Drosophila melanogaster: one gene and its partners. The protein of the gene in region 3 interacts with the protein of the main gene of each other region in a pairwise test. Each region holds a gene or a part of one and is shown on either strand. Other genes may lie near its edges. The genes, in order: Pura, Grx3, CG33095 and nuf.

Region 1 (4,686 bases), on a different chromosome or scaffold from region 3:
ATATCTCCACTTTGACGTGCGCTTGGTCACCGATTGCATTAGAATACAATCAGCGAAGGAATACATTTACATACATTTCCGAGAACGTTGCTTTTCAATCTAATTGTTTGGACTTTCGACAACTCAAAAAATATACATATAAATAACCAAAGTATTATGCAGATCAATGCCCAATTATTGCGGGCTGCAAGATTGCTTGGTTATGCAAGGAAAATGATTAAAAAATTAAACAAAAACTGGACTATGTTCTATTTTATGTAGTAAAATCCCTGGCATTACTGCTACGTCTTCATTATCATAACTAAATTTTTTATCTTTATGTATTTGTATAGTTAATACTTCTCTTCCCAGTTCATAGAGTATCTTATAGTACAGTATCTTTCACTTCCATTTAGTCAGCATTTCCGACTGGGGACTGAGTTCTGTTTTATGCACAATGTTATTGTTTGCCCCGCTGAATAGCCGCCGCCCGTGTTTCATGCCCATCCCTCTGCCATAATTGTGGATACAATGCATCATATATAGACATCTTCAACTCCTGCCTTGAACTTGGCAAGTTCCCATATTATACATATGTATATACAAAATGAAGGGCTGGCTGTCCACATATATTTTGTTTGCTACTTTGTCGGTGTTTAGCTGAATGCCTTTTGACGGGCATTTGTTTACGATGCCAGACGCAGGCTTACCCTGGAACGCTAACGAGCTCGGGATTCCTTTGGTTCCTGGCTTCGAGATCCCCATGCGATTGCGTTATCCGGAACACGCGATGAGTGTTTACTTCGCTCTGGTTTCACGAAAAAAAAATCTGAGCAGTCGCTGAAACTTCAAGTGGTGCGAATAAACATTTGCCAGCGGGATAAACAATATATGGGCTCCACCGATGGCCCATAAATATAACTATTAAGTGCTCTTCCCGGTGGGTCTGCCATATATTCCACTTGCGAATGCGAACGGGCATTAGAATAAAGTTGCACAGCAAATTGGGTTGTGAGTAAGAGTATCAATATTTCCGCAGTCAATTAAAATCAATTAATTCCTAAGCTTTTTGTGATTCACTAGTTCGTGATTTGATTCCGGGCTTAATGACTACGTATATCATATATCATATGCCCTTTACAAATAGTTTTCTAATTTACGTTAATCATATGCATTATAATATTTTAGAATTTTACAATTAACTTTATGCATGCAATTGCCGCATTTCAGCTATTTGAAAATTCAGTTTCCCTTCAGACCAGTAACATAAAAATAAATCACCCATTTTGCAGTCTATTGGTTTATATCAGTTTGCAGCCTAAATATTAGAAAACTTTTTAATATGCCATGGGCGTTCAGCTTAACCCCTACGTGCTCTGTTTGAGATCCGCATTGTTACAAACACAAAAATTTCGAAATCGCACAAATGCCAGCTACAGATAATTGCCAAAAATCACCGGCAAAGTCAACTCAACTTTCATAAAACGGCATTCAATTTGATTTGCACAATTTGGAGGCCTCTTAGCGGCTCCTCGACTGTCGGTCGGTTTTCACATTTGTGGCATTTTGGCGTTTGTTTGAATTGATAACAGGCTGAAAGTGCCTTTCAAGCTGACAGCCATAATCGCTCAACGCCAACTGTTTGGCGGGCTAAAATAGTTGGGGGGTTGTTGGGGAGTTTTCCCGACTGCCAGGGGATGGAATTATATAGAACCAAGCCTATGTCTCCGCCAGGTCGATGGACACACCCATCCAGGCAGAGCGGGCGGAAAGCGGAAACGGAACAAAGCCTCAGACAGTGGCCAACTTGGGCTCAGACCAATTCAAACCAGCAACTCCGATGGAGAAATTATAGCGAGTCACGCGAGTGCTAAACTTTTCTAACCCTTCTTCAGCAGCCGGCTGTGCCCCGATTCGCAGGAAAACCAGAATTAGCTAAAAATTGCACCGAATGCCCGAAATGATTGTAGTTAATTGAATTTGCAGCCTGGCTGAATAACTTTTAATTGAATTCCAGCTAAAATCTAAAGGTTGTGAGCTGGAGTGATGACCCACTTGGGGATCTAGTGCAGGATGATCTAAGTTGGGTAATAAATACATAACTCTAATTGGATAGTCAGAAAAGGGACAAAAACATGTTCAGGGTTAGTAATTAGGCATACCTTGATAAAATACAAAACTTATTTTGCCGGCCTGTATAATAGAGCACTGACTTTATTGACTCTAGAAAGTGCTAAGTACTAAGGTAATGAAAAAAGTCACTTTTTGCGAATAATATTAATGACTACACAGATGCTTCTATTTATTAAGTTGTTCTTGTAGATTAATGGTACTCCTGTGATCAGTGTCAATTTCATTTTGGCTATGCAACTTCGTTAATATTCTGTTAAAGCTGGCTATTAAAAAAGTAGTAAACAGCTGTTTAGTAATGTCTAAAGCAGCCTTAAAATATTGAAATTCGAATAACACTCGCTCATTGGCTTTCGTAATTGATAAATTGAGCAACTACTTCAAGAGAATACCCTAAATACATAGCTATTCTATTTCCACATTGACTCTATCCAGTCAAGTCTATATATTTATTTGTTCACCAATGATCTCATTTCAAAGCCCATTAAATTCTGTAGCAACTGAGATTAAGTATATCAGTTTAATGGCTTTAGAAGTGGCTAAATGATGTGGTCACGTTGCTACTACCCTATTTCTTTCGGTGTACTCACGTGACACTGCCTTCTGGCCAGTCGGCGCCTAATCCACTTGAACGCCTCCTGGCGACGCCGGACAAAGGACATACTGGAGCGGTGCCACAGATGCAGGACGATGACGAGGACGCGCTGCACCCAGACTCCCAACCGCTCGCTCCACACTTCCCGGCGCAGCTGGAACATTAAGCACAGCACTCAGTCCGATTTTCAACGGAATCAAATACCATAACTTTCGCGAATGGCTAAGCACTGCGATATTCCTGGGCGGATTGGCCAAGACGGCGGGTAGCTAATAGAATTTCACTTTTGTTTTGGGGGCGGTACGCGGTACGGAACCGTTGTTACTTCAGTTGCGTTTGTTGTTTGACTGAGAATGCCGCCGAGTTTGTTTCTCCACCTCGGCAAACTTTGAGTGAGTGTGAGCAGTAGACTCCTCGACTTGAGACTCAAGACTTGAGACAGAGAGAGAGCCCTGCACTTGCGATTGTCACCGCTACTGATACTTATACTGTTTTTTTTTTTATTTTAACGTTTTTTTTTTTTTGTTGCTTTCCGCGTTTTGTTTATACAATTTTCTGGTGCGGACCGTGTGCGTGTGGCTTACTGGGGAACCCAGAAAAATCGTACTACTCGTACATAAATAATGCAATAAGTTGGGGCCCCACCGAATCGAGACAAAAACAGAAGGTGGAAAAATTGAAAAAAAAATCGAAACTGTTTTTGCATTCGCTGCACACATACACACACACCCATCAAACATCACACCTCTTCTGCTGTCCGAACACTCGAATACTTGAATACTCGGCTTTTAACCGAGCTTTGCACTCAATTTGATTGCCGGCAGAAGCGGCTGCAAAATCCACGGTAGTCACATGCGACACATGTGAAACACGCAGGGGAGGCCCATTTTACGGTGAAGGCGAAGGTGTTGCTTTTGTAATCGGCGGCCTAGGCACATTGGTCGCAAAACAACTAAAATGGGTGGTCAAATTTGGTATGTGACTCAGTTCAAAATATACAATATACATATATATCCAAATTAGATTATTAAATGGAATGTACAATTTGGAATAATCAAATATTTTTGAAATTATCTTCCTTGTCAAGTGGCAGTATACGACGTTTCATGTTAATATTTAATATGTTAATGTTAATGTTTAATATTTATTATTTAATTTAGAAATATTAAAACAAAGAAAGATTAACGCCCATGGTAGTGCAAAATTTGTTTTAAAATTAAAAAAAATATTTTATACACTTTTAATCGGGCATTTCTCCATATCATATTACCACTGTACTTGCACTAGTTCGTGTGTGGGCGTTTCTAGGCGATCCCTTGTACCGCGCCCAGTCTTCGAAGTGCAAGCGCCGCTAGGCGACGAAGGCAAACAAGTGTTTTGGGTGTCTGCTATACTCGTAAAATGCGAGGAGGATAAAAGCCCATGGAACGTCTATCGGAAAGCTTTTGGAGCGTAGATTAATGTTACTGGCTGTGGTCGGTCTGCTGGCCGTGTTGCTATTTTGTTATTTACCCGCTCGTTGCCAGTACGGTTATTTATTTATTTATGCTAATGTTGCTGGCAGAGCCGCTGACGCTGCATTTGCATTGTTTAGAATGAGAACAGCGAGAAAACGAGCGCAGCAACAAAAAGGGGGCACAGACAATAACAACAACTATAACAACAACATGTGCAACAGCAACTGCAGCTACAGCGGTAGCAACAAAAACACGACAAGTGGCACTCACGCGACAAAGGCCCATATATAAAGTGTTCTCATGGTTATCTCGTTGCCTGTGCGATACTTTCAAGTGTTTCACATGCAGAGGAAAAATTGATTTTTATCAATATAATAAACAATACACATATTCACATACATAATTCACTCACTGCAAATCATTTTCATTAAATCCAATTCATAGTTTTAAGATTTCACAAATTTGTTTAAGCACCCTAATAATATGTACCAAAAAAAAAATTTCTCACTGTGTGCGGATATTTTG
Region 2 (3,516 bases), on a different chromosome or scaffold from region 3:
CAGTCTTCACTTTGTTCTAAACGTTGTGGTAAACGTTCAATGCTGGTTTTTATTACATATATATGAAGATCTTCAATATTACACACCTGAAATTCGCTGCCATTGAAGGGCAGTTCGGTAACTTCTAGCTCGTCGAATATGTTCCAGCCCTTTAGAAAGATGTCCGTCAGCTTTTGGTCCTCTCCGCCAGCGGTATTACCCTCAGCCATTTAAAGATTTGGATATAAGTTTATAGTTAATGGGTATTTTCAATAATATAAATAATATTGCGAAAATAATGTGCAAGATGCCGACGCCGAAACAGCTGTTTACAAAATGAAGGTACGCAAAATACCAGATAAACCAGGGCTGGTGTATAAAAAAGTTCTTACAAATTTCTAGCTATATTTATGTCGTTAAGTTTGTAAACATTTATGGTGACACCATTGAAGCCCGTGTAAGATGTCTTATGGATGACCTATAGCACATTTGCTTTAATACAATTGTTATTAAAAATTTCGATGAATAAAATAATACCAGAATGTAGCAAAAATCCTTTATTAAACCATTAAAAAGTCTAAGGATCTAGCTAAAAATTTGTTTCTGGTTTATGGTGTCTGTAGGAGTAGATGCAATCCGATGGAATTAGCCCTTTAGCGTGGACTCGAGCTCATTGTTCGCCAGCAGTTCCTTAATAATATCGAGTCCGCCGATAAGTTCACCCTTGACGTAAACCTGGGGATATGTGGGCCAGTCGGAGTAGGTTTTCAGGCCTTGACGCACTTCTTCGTCGCCGAGGATGTCAAATGTCTCGTACGGCAAGCTATCGAAGGATATTTTCGTTTATAACTTGAAATCAAATACAACTGATGATCAATTTGCATACTTGGTTTCGTTCACAATGCCGATGAGCTGCTTGGAGAATCCGCAACGCGGTCCATTTCGGTCGCCCTTCATGAATATCATCAGCGGAGCTGTATTGATTAGGGCCTTTAGGCGTTCCTCCAACGTTTGTCCTGTTGCCGCCGCGCTGCTTGCGTTTTCGGCCAACTTTTTGGATTTGGCGCTTATGGCGGCGATGTCTACACCATCGACACGGTCAACGGCGGAGCCCTTGGCGAAGAATATGACTGTGGGCACGGCCTCGATCTGGTGGCATCGCAAATGAATGAGGAACTACTGTTATATTTTCATAAAATAAATACGAGCGTACCTGATGTTTCATGGAAATCTCGGGAAATTGTTCAGCGTTTAGGCTGATGAACTGCAGTTTTTCGCCAGTAATCTTGGCCAGCTCCTCCAGCGCGTCTTTCACCTGACCGCATTGCTCTGCCCATTCGGCGGCGAATAGAGCTACGGTCGTCTTATCCGCATTAATGTACTTCTGGTACTCCTCGGCAGCCGACACGTTCACCACGGGCATGATTTCTTTGAATTATTTAACTAAATTTGCTGGACAAGCAAAATTTACAAAAAGCAGACCGAATTATCAGCTGTGGAAGAGAGTTGCCACTTTCCGTAAAGAAGTCAGCGCTGGTAGCTATAAAATAACAACCTATAAATGGCTAAAAATATATAAAATTGTATTAAAATGTATAAAGCAAGCGTTTCATGAAGTATCAAAACTAGCAATTTAAATATTCTTTTTATTATTCTTTTTTTCTTTATTTTATTCTTTGAAAATTATTTCATTAGCTTGAGTTTTTGTTGTCATTTTCAGTACAGCTCATGCATTTAGAGCTGTTGGACGAAATTTGGAGAAAATGTCGTTTCAACATCTGGCAACATCGAACGGCAACACGTGCGGTCGTGCCGTACCGTATTCAATATACACAGCTCACTTATTTTTCGCAACTAAAAGTTGAATTAGCCGGATAATGGTGACGCGCAAGAAGCCAGTTAAGCGCAACGCCGAGGCGGCCGAAATCCAGGTCGAGCAGGAGGAGGACGCTTCACAGCCGAAGGTGGCCAAGGAGCTGATGGTGGTCGCCCAGGAGGTGAAAATTATACGTGCTCTTGCCTGCAACGATGTGGTGGAGCGTAATCGCCAGATCCGCATTTTGCGCAAGTGGTTCAAGGCGCGTGCCGGTAGCTCCTTTCCCTTCAACGAGGACGACTTCATGCGCATCTGGAAGGGATTGTACTACACCATGTGGATGTCGGATAAGCCGCTGGTGCAGGAGGAGCTGGCCGAGAAGTTGGCTCAAATGGTGGACAGCTTCGGCGGTAATACGGCCTGCAGTCTGGCCTACTTTAGTGCGTTTATGCGCACAATGTGCCAGGAGTACTTTGGCATAGATCAGTGGCGCATGGACAAATTCCTGATGCTCACCCGCCGCATGGTGCGTTATCTACTGAGATTCCTCAAACAGAACAACTGGAATGCGGACCTGATAGCCGCATTCAACAGCAGCATGCAGCTTTCTGTGATGTCGGAGCAGCCTAAGTCTCGCGGCATGACCATGCACTACCTAGATGTTTTCTTTGAGGAGCTGGCCAAGGCGGCCAATGGTGAGATCACTGCTGCTCAGGTTAATATGTTCTTGCGTCCGTTTGTCACCTACATTGCTACACAACGCGATGCTAAGCTAGTGGCACAGTGCCGCACAAGGGTACTCTATCATCTGATGTACCAGAGCGACTTAGGACGACAGTACAGCGAAAAGTACAATGCCTGGAAGCAGATGGGTTTCCCCACCGCCTCCATTGATGACATTGAGAAACTAGATTCTGGATTTGACGAGGAGGATGACGAGGTCAACGCCGAGGAGGAGCAGCCGCGGGCCACATCCTTGGATCCCCGAGCGGGCAACGTGGACGTTCACATGCCGGAGCTGCCGCTCAACGCTGATTGCGTACTAGATGAGCTGCAGACGCAGCTACGCACCAACGATTTTAACAGCAAGAGACGCAAGGGATTGCGCAAACTTATCCAGATCTTTGAGACTTACCAGAGAGGAGAGTTTCCACTTGGCGTGAGGACAATGCCAAAGGTGGAGGGACAAACTCTGTCCGAAATGGTGGAGCAAAAAGTGGCTGCCTTAGATAAGATGGAGGACGAGGTCTTTGCAACCGGAAGAAAACTGAAGAAGCTCAACAAATCCAAACGCAAACGCCTACTGCAGTCCATTAACTTTGAGGAGGTGGACGAGCACAACTACGATGAGGTTATTAGCAAGGCTCTGCCTCCTGAGCTGCAGAAGAAGGTGAATTACAATGCAAAGGTGCGTTCTAGCATAAACAACGCATGGGTAGTAGAGGAGGTCAAGGAGGCCGAGCCCAAGTCGAAGAAAGCAAAAAAGGAAGAACCGCCACAGCAGAACAAAGATGACCAGACGAAGGTGAAGAAGAAAAGCCAGCTTAAGCCGAAGAATGACCAGTCCAAGCCCAAGATAGAGGATCAACCGACCTTGAAGGCAGAAAAAGAAGAGCCTGCGAAGCGCAAGAAATTGGACCACTCCAAGACGAAGGAGGAGCAGTCGAAGCCGAAGACAGACGAGCAGCCCAAGCCCACACCTAAGGTGGAGGGACAGTCCA
Region 3 (6,967 bases):
TTAGTGCCCATGGAGTACGGCAGTCCCGATGCCGTCGCGTTGGAAAAGCCGCCGTTTAATTTGCCATTCAATTTCAACGAACTCGCCGCGCAGTATCAGTTATACTTCCCAAGTTTTTTCTACAACGGCCAATATGGCAACATACCTTGCTACCAGAAAACACCGCCGCTTTTTCATAACGGCCCGTTGCCCGTCTTTTGATTATGAAAGTTATAGTTAAACTAGAGTTAAACCAAGCTATGTCTAAAACATACTCACTAGTGGTCCTATTATTGTAATCTTATGTTATTTACTTGTGTACTCATCTTATTTAAACGAAGCCGTATTGTAAACAGTTGAGTTTAGAAGATCTCTAAAGTCAATAAAGAACTGCCTATAATTGTATTAAATGTTTGTTTAAACTATACAACTATGTAGGTCTGTGAAGTCTAGCTGTAGCACCCGATACTTTATTTTTTTATTTTAGTTTACCATTAGAATAATGTGTAAAACCCATAATTATTATCTCCGTCGTGAAGTTTAAACTGTGTATTATTTGCAATTCCTATTGCCACAGGGAATATACTTATGTACATAACTAACATCCAATCTATTTGGTTCCTTAGATAATTGCAGCTCGAAAACAAACTACAGGTTGTAAATATATAAATAGACGCCGATTAATTCGATTACAGGTCGAAAATAGGTCCGCAATGGTTAACTTGCCTTCCTACCTTGTTTTGCAAATCATTTGCATCTCACACATGCACACACACGTATTCGAATTGCTTTTGTTTCCATTAGCTGTCAATCATCCTTACATATGTTTGACTTCAACCCTAGTCGGAACACCTCGCCTTCGCTACCATCCATATCCATATCCACATCCACTTCCACATACATTATAAAACACCCATTGGAAAGAAGGGGGAGCGGGGTCGTCGGTCGATACGGCGCGGAATGTAGTTTGTTATGTCTTACAAGAAAGGTGGCACAGACTTGGAAGCCGAATTTTGAAATACTTTACTACATAAATTCAATGATCTACAGAAAATATTTTAACGAAAAAATGGTTGAAAGTTGCTTTTATCTAGGGAAAGTCCTGTAAACTTAAGTGTTTTTGATCTCAGGTTATTATTTTGATCTTCCAGATGAAACTGTAATATTCAAAACATAAGTCTATTGGCCAATATTAATACAATACACATTATTACTTAACATCCTTAAAGTCATGGGATAATATCAGGTTGTTTTATGCATGGGATAAGATCAGGTTGTTTTATGCGCATTGGTCTTATGGAATAGCATTCTCTAAATATGTTTATTACCAAACTAGGATTCTTCAAATGAGCCCGGGTGAAATCCTTTCTCCATAGAAACTATAAAAGTAGGAAACAATTTTGGTTTGGTACAACCAATTAGTTGTAGGACTACGTATTATGTACCAAATTTGAAAAATGTGCATACAAACATTCGTTATGTACATAAACGTGAAGAGTTATGTATGACATAACTTTATAAAGTATTGAAGCAGATAATATTGAAACAAATCCGATTTACATGCACAAAATATTTAAGGGCTCTTATATATATGGGCTACTTCATAGCTGGACACATCTCAAAAACTGTGGATACTTTTTATATAAAATTTTCCCCAAATTTACTTTAAAATATTCCTCTAAGGTGGTCTGCATTTTTGAACACGCTTTGTGAGAGTTTTTAAAAACTATTTGCAGATTTGCAGGCACACATTTCATGACAGGTTTTAAATCATCATTATTGAAATGTATTTGCCTAACAAGGCAAATGAATATGAATGAATAAATATATCCCTCGTTCCGATTCCAGTTCGTTCTGGGGAAAATAGAGATTCGATTCGCTGGTGTTTTGTACTCGCTGCCCAGGCGGTCACACTAAAAATACCAAAAGCGCCGTTGTTTTTTAGGGCGTTTTAGCCACCTTACTTCTTTGTGGTTGTTTGCCTATCTACATTGCCATTTTGTAAATGTGAGTGTACCAAATTTCAGTAAGACAATTTACCCATTAACCGTTCGATTATGTTGAATTCTGTGTGCGAACTGAGCCCGAAATGTTATGTTTGTCTCGTCACCCCCGTCGCCTAGCCCACTGACATCTTGCTCGTCCACGTATAGATGATATAGACGCGAATTGGCCCGAACCCGAAGTCTGAACCCAAAAACTCCGTTAGTCCTTTGTTGATGGTAATCGTGCATTTGAGGCGAGAAATCGAAATCGTTAGCATTCCGTAGAGACATTCAAGGCACGGAGCGAGCATGTTCAGTATCAGCGAGCTCTGTTGCATGTTTTGCTGCCCCCCGTGTCCGGGTCCCATTGCGGCCAAGTTGGCCTTCCAGCCGCCGGAGCCCACGTACAAATTGACCCCGGCGGACGACACCAACATCCGGTACAACCTGCAGTTGTTCGACCGCGCCGAGTGGCAGTACTCTGAACGTGAGAAATCGAAAGTGGAGGCCTTCTTTACGCGCACCTCGCGTGGCAACCTGATCACCTGCATCTATGTCAGGTGCAGCAAGAATGCCAAGTACACACTTCTCTTCTCCCACGGGAATGCAGTGGATTTGGGCCAAATGAGCAGCTTCTACCTGACCCTGGGCTCCCAGATCAACTGCAATATCTTTGGGTACGACTACTCCGGGTACGGAATGAGTGGCGGCAAGCCGTCCGAGAAGAATCTGTATGCGGACATCGAGGCTGCCTGGCAGGCGATGAGAACCAGGTAAGCTCTTCTAGTTCACCCCATTGATTCCGCTTTGCTAACTCGTTATGCACCCTCAAACCAGATTCAACATCAGCCCGGAGACAATCATCTTGTATGGCCAAAGCATTGGCACTGTGCCCACTGTGGACCTGGCCTCGCGTCACGAGGTCGGCGCTGTGATACTCCATTCGCCGCTGATGTCCGGCCTAAGGGTCGTCTTTAGGAACACAAAGAGAACCTGGTTCTTCGACGCCTTTCCCAGGTGAGATAATTCGTTGAATTGCGTTCATAGCCAATTCTAATGTTATCGGATTTCCACGCAGCATTGATAAGGTGGCTAAGGTGAAGGCTCCGGTTCTGGTTATCCACGGCACCGATGATGAGGTCATTGACTTTTCCCATGGCATCGGAATCTACGAGCGGTGTCCTAAGACTGTCGAGCCGTTTTGGGTGGAGGTAATTACTCTTGATTGATTACCCGCCTAGAGCAGGTTATGCACTTATTAAGCAGCATTTTAACCGGAATAATTATTGTTATTATTCATTCTAATAGTCTAGCGTTTTCCCTGAAATCGATTAAGTGTCTCGTATCAAGTTCACAGCTTTTCATAAACATTAAAATTGGCAATTCAATCAATCTTTCTCAGCAATGTGATCTCATCGTATCGATTCTTATTTATTTATTTAATGATATGACTTAAAACTTAGCCTAATTTGCAAACTCATGAGAAACTTTGATTTCAGGGTGCTGGACATAATGATGTGGAACTGCATCCGCATTATTACGAGCGACTGCGCAAATTTCTTTCGGTGGAACTCGTCAAATGACAATTAAAGAATAATGTGGACGGAGGCGTTAGCGACACTACATCGGGCGTAATATCTAATTCAAACCCTGCCGCCGGTAGTGCGTCCCTAAGTTCAAAGCACCCGAATCCTGCCCCTGCGGCAGGAAGCGAAACAAGTAAAAAGAATGTGGACACAAATGTCAAACGGATTGAAAACGATGGTTTGTAATTAACTATAAGTATTGCAATGTAATTATTTATTCAGCCGCATCAATACATTCGAGAATTGCATTTTTTAAAAGATTATAATTAACTAGTTGTCAGGAGACTTGCACCAAGATCCCCATTCTTACAGCATTGTGATCCTGGTCCCCGTATTAATTGAATAAGCATAGGTCATATCATCTTATACTTAACCATATTGGTAGAAAAATCAAACAATAACCGCATTAAGTTCTAAAACGATCTGTTAGCAATATGCTACAGTAATATGGTTTTAATATTTAAGGACAAGAAGTTTGAATAAAGTAATTTTTTGATACTTTGAAAGTGAACTGTTTTCTACTTGCAACCACTTTATTGTTTGGCTTCTACGCTTTTAGGAAAAACAGTGAATATCTTCTTACCATTTATGATTTGTAACTTTCTCTCTAATTTGTGATCAGCTAATGTCTAATGTGTGTGTGTTCGCTCTTCTTGCAGGTGCCTCAAATTCCAGCCAGAGTTCTACTAAAGCTCTCGAGCAGAAGTTTCTTTAGCAAAAACAGTCGGGCTCATATTCAAAAGCCCAACCCTTCTCACCACAGTTCCCAAGCAGGGAACTATCAAGTAAATCGTGCGGAAACAGACATAGTAAACAAAATAGGAAAGATGACCCACCATTAACCGATATGAAGTCGAACGGCTTCTTTGTTTCTCGTTTAAAACAACCAAATATTGCTCCAACACTTCCAGTACTTTCTCCACATTCACCAATGAATGCTAATATACATATAAATAGCCAGCATACCCAACTTTCCGGTCGATATCTAAATAACAAAGTGTCCCAACAAATCGACACTGAAAGTATAAAAAGAGTGGCATCTAACCGATCTCTAAAGGACAGTCAAAACGTCTTATCCATTTCATCAACTCTAATATGCAACTGCGAGAAGGCCCAAAAATCGAATGGCTCAGAAGCGGAAGCAAACGAAGAAATCAAAATTAAACTGAGCTCAGATACTGGTAACAAATCTACCATTAGTAAATTAAAAGACCCGAAACTCTCTTCAGCGTCGGAAAAAAACGCATTAGATAATTCAACCGAGGGTTGTTTGCAATTGAAAAGTGTAATTGGAAAGGAGCAAAAATCGCTGTCTCCGAGACTGACGTTACACAAGAGTGGGTTTCAACAGGCCATCATAATTTCCGACGACAGTGAGAACACGAAGTCTTCGCGATTAGGTACCCAAACAGCAAGGCAGCTCTCCAGTAATTCAGACAATCAATTTTATCGACAGCTTACCCATAAGATTAGCAAATCGGAGCAAACTTCCCCAAACAACTTGGAGCTAGACAAAGCTAACTTTCTCTACGATACGAACAATAGGAGTACGGGCTGTTTGGTGTATCCTTCGGATCCATGGATAAAGAACTCGCATATTAAGAACAGCTTGTCCCCCAAAACGGAAAAGTATTCAAACACCATGCATCACAATATCGATCCGTGGGTCAAGAGACAAACAGATGCTGCTGTGGAAATCTCACGGCTTCCCAAGAAAAATTTCTACCGCGAAAAATCCCTTTCTTCCATAAACAATAAACTAATTTCGACCAGAACTGAGAAATCAAAGTGTGCAAAGCCGCAGTTGAAGCATTCGAAAACGGAGCTGGACGATGATCAAGTATTTTTAAATGAGCCAGGATTGCTTTTTGCTCCATTCTCTCCGCAATATCGCAACACGTCGCATAAAATCTGGTCTCTCGACCAGCCTTCTAACGATCTGAAAGCCAACATTCAAAGCAAGTCAGCTAGTTTTTTACCGGACAAGGTGAAGGAGATATCCAGTCCATTGCCGAACCATGTTAGAAAATCTGTACAACAAAACAATAGTAATTTGCTGTGTCCGAATGTTCAAGCAAGATTATTGCTTCAAGTAGAAAAGCTGCATTCTAGACACAGCTCCCTATCGATTCCCACTCAATCGAAGGATGAACTACCCCTGAACATCCGTCGACTGTCCGAGCAGATCCGTGAACCGCCTTTGGAGAAAAACATCTCATTATCCCTCAGCGATCGTAACGTTAGCAAAATTCCGACATCTGATGGCGTGGGCGAGGCTCACCTGGTTGCCCCTCACAAGATGGACAAATTTCATGTGAGTAGGGATGCCGCAGTGCAGAGTACAAGCCACCTTGAAGACTTTATATCCCTACAACGAGGCCCCAAAGATTCCACAATTGTTAATAATGTAAACCCCTTTACGAGTACTTATAAGCCTGATCCACTTTTAGAAACCACCTGTTAAAACCATTTGCTAGGAAGCCGAAAACCGAAAGCCGATATTAAAGTGTCTCTGCATAGCTCATTCATAGGTCATGAAAATATACAAAATATAAAACCACAAAAAACATACATACATATATGTCTTATATATCAATCGAATCTAAATATGAATAATAAACAAGTAATAAATAATAATTTTAGTAGTACCTTAAGTTTGAAATTTTTACAGTGATTTTGCATTTATATTAAGTAACACTATAATGCCCTGCCAACAATATGGGGCTAAGTTTTAGGCTTAACTACATTCGCAAAGCATATATATGTGTGTAATAGTGTATTTTCTCCTCATTTTATTGTCATTTTACATATTTGTTGTAATACATTTTATAGTAATAAAATCTTTATAAAGAGCTAAGTAACGCATCTAGTTGTTATTCATTGGCCGCCTGTTGTGTGGGGGGTTTGAAAAGTTCCCAAATGTACAATGGTTTTTAAACTCTTAAAGTTGAGAAAATATTACGCTTTCACTGCTTTTTGTTTATATTCATACTCTTTCAGAGAAACTTTTATACAATTGGTTGGTTTTATGAACGTATTAATTTGACAACCCACGCAAATCAAGCCTCTATTAATTGCATTCGATTTGACTTTCACCGAAAAACAAGCAAATTAAGCTCGCTTTGGATAAGGCCCATAGTTGGGATTCGTTGACATAATCCGAGCAATTCAGAGTGTATTTATGTAATCTGGAATCCATATAAAGTCCGAATGCAAAGCGGATTAAAGACAGTTGTTGATAGTCTCTTGTGAAAACATTTGTTCACTTCATACAAAAAAAAAAAATGCTTTGGATAAGAGTGCTTGTGGCGTATAGTATAATTTTATTTGGAAGTTTCCACGGAGAGTGTGCTGCCGTTCATAAAGATAATAATACATATAATTCAACAAAAAACTCTCTTATTGAAGCTCAGTCGA
Region 4 (4,684 bases), on a different chromosome or scaffold from region 3:
AAGCCAACCCTCTCTTTACTTCTTCTTTTTTTTTTAGAACCAACAGACCGTAAAATTATTTTGTTCAGACTTTGAGCAGAATTCTAGACAATTTTACATATCCTCGTCGTACAGCTATTTTCCAACCTCTCCCTATTTTCATTGTTATTTTGTTCCTCAGGTTTTGAATTCCCGCCTAGTTTCTAATTACCAGAAAATGCAATGGCTGGCTAAGTTTGCTTTTCTTTTACTTGGAATTTGTGGCGTGCTGTTTACTTTTGTAGTCTAGTAAACTGAATCATTCTTAGTCTTATCAAATCGTTCGGCGACGTGTATAGTTAAGGTGCCCTTGTCAAAGCTTCATTTTCACGTTATCACATACAAATTTAAATAAAGGTCAATATGAGGGCCAATTAAAAGCAGGGCATGACTGATAAAGATTTTACTTTTTAAAGAACTTTATTTGCTTTGAATGATTCCAAGTTGATTTACGAAATAAGCATTCAAATAAATAAAATACAACTTTATTACAAATGATTTGGAAACCCTTATCAAAATACAATCCAATTCCTTCAATACAAGTACAGTAAGTAACCGAATAATCTGATTTCAATTCAACTAAAACTAATTTGCTAATGAAGTAAACTTTCCTTTCTTGTCAGCTGAATATTTTTGGATTATCATATCTCTTCAACCATTTTTTCCTCGCCCATGTCAGGCAATCAAAAACAGCATAATAGAAAATTATCATTAGCTACTCTTCAGCAAAATTGAATTCCACAAAGATTTGCATACAATGGTCGACGAAGGAAGGGGTGAAAATGGGGATGAGTCGAACGAGGGGAGCTCATTAAATGCAAATTTTACTTCGCTGCTGTGCACTTTTCATGCAACAAAGTGAAGTGAACAAGTTACAACAAAAAGGTTGTAAAATATACAATGATTAGCCGAAATTGGATCAGGAATGCTGAGTACCACATAAAATATTCATGATTTCAAACAAATGTATATTTAAAGACTTTGCATCAATTATATGGGAATCATATACATAAGAACTTGAAAAAAAATTGTCATTGATTATTTTTAATGTACTATTATGTATTCTATAACTTTCTTGAAAGCTTTTGCTTAAAAGAACCAAAAACTAATGATGCAATCCTTTAAAATATTTTTAATTTTCCTGCCGATTTTATGATCTTCAATAATCTGTGCCGCGATCTCACAAATATTTTTCAATTTTAAAAGTGAATAGCTAATTTTTTCGATTATTTAAAATGGTGTATTATGTATTTTATTACAACCACAATCGAGGGAGAAAAACAAATTTCGATTAAAGCACGCGAAACGCGAAAAGCAAACTGAATGAACCAGAAATTCAGGGGCAAAATAAACCGAGGCAGTCGCCAGCGATAGAGAGAAAAATGAGAGACTGGGAGAGCGAATTTGGGGAGGCGCAATCTTTATAAATAGGAAAAAATAATAATCAACAAACAAGAGCAATGACAAGGGACCGAAGAAAGAGAGCGATCCGATCCCCCAAAGGAAAAGTTTTTCGCCATATGTCCGAGGGTGATTCTCTCGCCGAATCCGCCCGCCTCCTTTATTTTGAACATATGGTTTTTGAGTCAGGGACAGCGCATAATTATGTGGAATTTATATACGGTCACCCCAAGCCAACCGCTCCCAAAATGCCTCCCATCATATGTTCATATATGCATACATACGTATGTATGTATATGTTTTACTCATTACTAAATAAAAGCGCAAGTGAATAAGCGTGGACACGAACCGAAAAGCAAGAGTAACGGGACGCATGCGGGATTGGATGGTAATCTCCATCCATTTCGTCCCATCTCTTTCGTACACCCCCTTTTTGTTGATGTCATCAGAGGGTCTTTTCCGTTCTTTTGTTATTGCGGCTACCTTAGGCCTTTTACTTATTGGTTTTTAGTGCTAGTTTTCAGTTCCGGTTAGTTGTCTTCTGTGCTGTTAGGGCACTGTGCCGTTAGATTTATATGCCTACTAATTGACGAACCATCGCTAATGAAAGAATATTTTCCTACCAAACTTAACGGTACGGAAAATGCCTAGTAAAAGAAATTAAGAAGTACGAGTTATGTATAATGAATGAACTTGGAACTGCTATGCGTTATTCTCGGTGGAAGCCCTTGATTTATTTAATTCCCTTTGAATGTAGAAACTGCCGAAAGCAATGAAAACAAGACTTGATTTTTAAAGAGGCAATATTATTTTTTTTTTTTCATCTTCCTAAGTTTACTAAACTTTTTAAGAAAATACTTAAACTTGTCTCCATTAATAATAAAAAAAATCAACACAAAAAGCACAATTAATTTACATTGTGCCGGTTTTGCAAATTTGATCACCTTATCTTTCTTCGTTTTACTTCATCAATTACCGTCAGTGTTTTTTCAACTTTTAACGCCCCATAACGAAGAATTGCTTTGAATTGTTTAAAGCTATTTTATTTTTTCTTTCATTTTGTCCCATTTATTGTATCATTTATCAATTTTATGCCACACTTGATTTCCATTTTTTATGTTTCGATAAAACACTTGGCAAACTGATTCAACCGCACTTTTCAATTTAAGATCAATCAACCAATATATTTGCCAGAGGGTATGAAAATTAGAAACATGAGCCGAACAAGGCTACTTTGATTACGGGTTTTCACAACAGACCCTGTCATTAACGAATTTGTTTTGATTTCACATTTTTCCTTAAATAAGCGGTTAATGAGCCAAAGGCACCTGACACAGCTGATAAGCGAATTCGATCGATAATAGGTAACACACAAAAAACACACGAATTGAGGTAACTTTGGGTTAATTTTCTCGAATTTCGAACCTTTTTTAATTTGGCTATTTTGCTTAGGAGAGCAGCAGCAGCAGCTGCATTTTCCTTTTCCTTGGCAATTGCATTGCCCAACAACAAAACACCCGCGCGAGAGAGCGCGAGAGAGTGAGAGACAGGGCGACCGTTCGATGCGCTGCTCCGCTTTTCTAGTGTTGTGAACGCGGCAAGCGTTAAATGCAATCTGAGAGAGGAAAGCGCTGAAAAGCCAGCGCCAAGTCGCGGCCCCTCCTCTGCCGCTGCCTCGGTCGACGTCGGCAGAAGCCGCGACTTGTTTTGGGTGCCCGAAAAAATAACGAAAAGAAATACAAAAAAACAGAGCCCCAAAGCAAAACGAACGCAATAGAAAAATTCCACTAATGTGACTTAGCAGTGTTGGAAATTCGTATTACATGCACTTGAGAAAAGAAAATTTTGTTTGCTGAGTGGCTTATATGCACATACACATATACACATTGTATAACATAGTTAGCCAGGTGTTTTTAGGTTTGAAAAGAAATACTAACTTCCAAATATAATATTTGTTTAAACAAAACTTATATTGCAGAATATATTTAAAAAATAATGGATTCAATTTGAGTTTTTGAATGTATTTAGTAAAGTGCACTTTACCAAACATATACATATGTATTACTGGTGGTTAATTCTTTTTTTTCATCAGTGTATGTGACTTAATAGACATTTGCAAAGTGCATTCGGGTAAAGTGGATAGAATGGCTTGAGGGAAAGGTGATGGGAGACAGAATGAGAATCGAGTGGAAAGAATCAAAAGCGACATATGTGAGCAACTCTTGAACTAAATTGAGTCAATTAAAAGTAATGGAAAGAAAAATCAAAGGAAAATGAGTCAGGGAACTGGGCTGTTCAGGGTGCACCGGATTATTCAACGAATTGGTCTGAAATGCGTAACATATGAGAGCGATGTAAATAGTTGAACCGACAAAATACATTTTTTTGCACCCCCTTTTATTTTGCAAAGTTTTCTTGAAAAGTATAATTTCAGTGTAATAGTGTAAATGTGTGATTGACAGCACTATTATGTATTGACACCCTTCAGAGGGCTCCGCAGTCTTCGATAATTACTTTCTTGCTGGTCTTCCCATCTTGTGAACCGTAAGATTCTACCTTCTGGACGATATCCATTCCCTCAACGACCTTGCCGAACACGACATGCTTATTATCCAGCCATGTGGTTTTCCCGGTGCAAATGAAAAACTGAGATCCATTGGTATTGGCCCCAGCATTGGCCATCGAAAGTACACCAGCTCCGGTATGCTTTAGCTCGAAATTCTCATCGGGAAACTTGTTTCCATAAATGGAGCGTCCTCCAGTTCCGTTTTGATTAGTGAAATCACCGCCCTGACACATGAAATTCGGGATGACGCGGTGGAATGGTGATCCCTTGTAGCCGTACCCCTTCTCTCCGGTGCAGAGGGCCCGGAAATTCTCCGCCGTCTTGGGCACCACATCCGAACGTAGTTCCATCACAATTCTACCTAACTTCTCACCTCCTGCGGCTATATCGAAGTAAACGCGTGGCAACGACATCTTCGCAGATGCCGAAAATTTTCGGAGAAAAGCCAGATCTATTAGGTTTAAAATCGAACGATGCCTTGTTCAAAAACAAGAAATATATTTACCGGATAACTTGGTGGTGTCAGCTTTATGATAAAAAAAAGTAACGACTTTCAAGAGAACCGTACAGTAGAACAGCTGGAACTGAACTGACGAATATTCTGGGCTAGTCAGGGATCTGAAGTAAGGGCTCGTTGAAATTCATTTCACAGCCTTCTTTATAAAATCCAGTAGCAAAAAAAAATGCCTGCTTTGGCTT

The links.
Region 1: the proteins of CG33095 (region 3) and Pura interact in a two-hybrid assay, tested with the Drosophila melanogaster proteins (one large-scale study listed by BioGRID).
Region 2: the proteins of CG33095 (region 3) and Grx3 interact in a two-hybrid assay, tested with the Drosophila melanogaster proteins (one large-scale study listed by BioGRID).
Region 4: the proteins of CG33095 (region 3) and nuf interact in a two-hybrid assay, tested with the Drosophila melanogaster proteins (one large-scale study listed by BioGRID).

What each region holds. Positions count from the first base shown.
Region 1 is NT_037436.4:7,591,459-7,596,144, reverse strand, and holds the start of Pura (Puratrophin-1-like), read right to left. Parts: upstream 3,055-4,686; 5' UTR 2,868-3,054; coding exon 2,700-2,867; intron 1-2,699.
Region 2 is NT_033779.5:13,364,417-13,367,932, reverse strand, and holds Grx3 (glutaredoxin 3), read right to left. Parts: upstream 1,487-3,516; 5' UTR 1,403-1,486; coding exon 1,193-1,402; intron 1,129-1,192; coding exon 866-1,128; intron 803-865; coding exon 625-802; 3' UTR 523-624; downstream 1-522. Other genes in the region: Tap42 (Two A-associated protein of 42kDa), read right to left, coding at 1-16, 87-209; Nnp-1, read left to right, coding at 1,857-3,516.
Region 3 is NT_033777.3:25,095,733-25,102,699, forward strand, and holds CG33095 (uncharacterized protein), read left to right. Parts: upstream 1-1,939; 5' UTR 1,940-1,986; exon of another isoform or gene 1,987-2,102; 5' UTR 2,103-2,273; coding exon of another isoform or gene 2,274-2,737; intron 2,738-2,801; coding exon of another isoform or gene 2,802-2,981; intron 2,982-3,042; coding exon of another isoform or gene 3,043-3,175; intron 3,176-3,463; coding exon of another isoform or gene 3,464-3,736; exon of another isoform or gene 3,737-4,053; intron 4,054-4,209; 5' UTR 4,210-4,397; coding exon 4,398-6,014; 3' UTR 6,015-6,414; downstream 6,415-6,967. Other genes in the region: fd96Cb (forkhead domain 96Cb), read left to right, coding at 1-201; CG33096 (uncharacterized protein), read left to right, coding at 2,274-2,737, 2,802-2,981, 3,043-3,175, 3,464-3,547; CG45095 (uncharacterized protein), read left to right, coding at 6,835-6,967.
Region 4 is NT_037436.4:14,218,097-14,222,780, reverse strand, and holds the start of nuf (nuclear fallout), read right to left. Parts: upstream 3,040-4,684; 5' UTR 2,845-3,039; intron 1,342-2,844; exon of another isoform or gene 1,281-1,341; intron 1-1,280. Other genes in the region: CG7768 (uncharacterized protein), read right to left, coding at 3,904-4,398.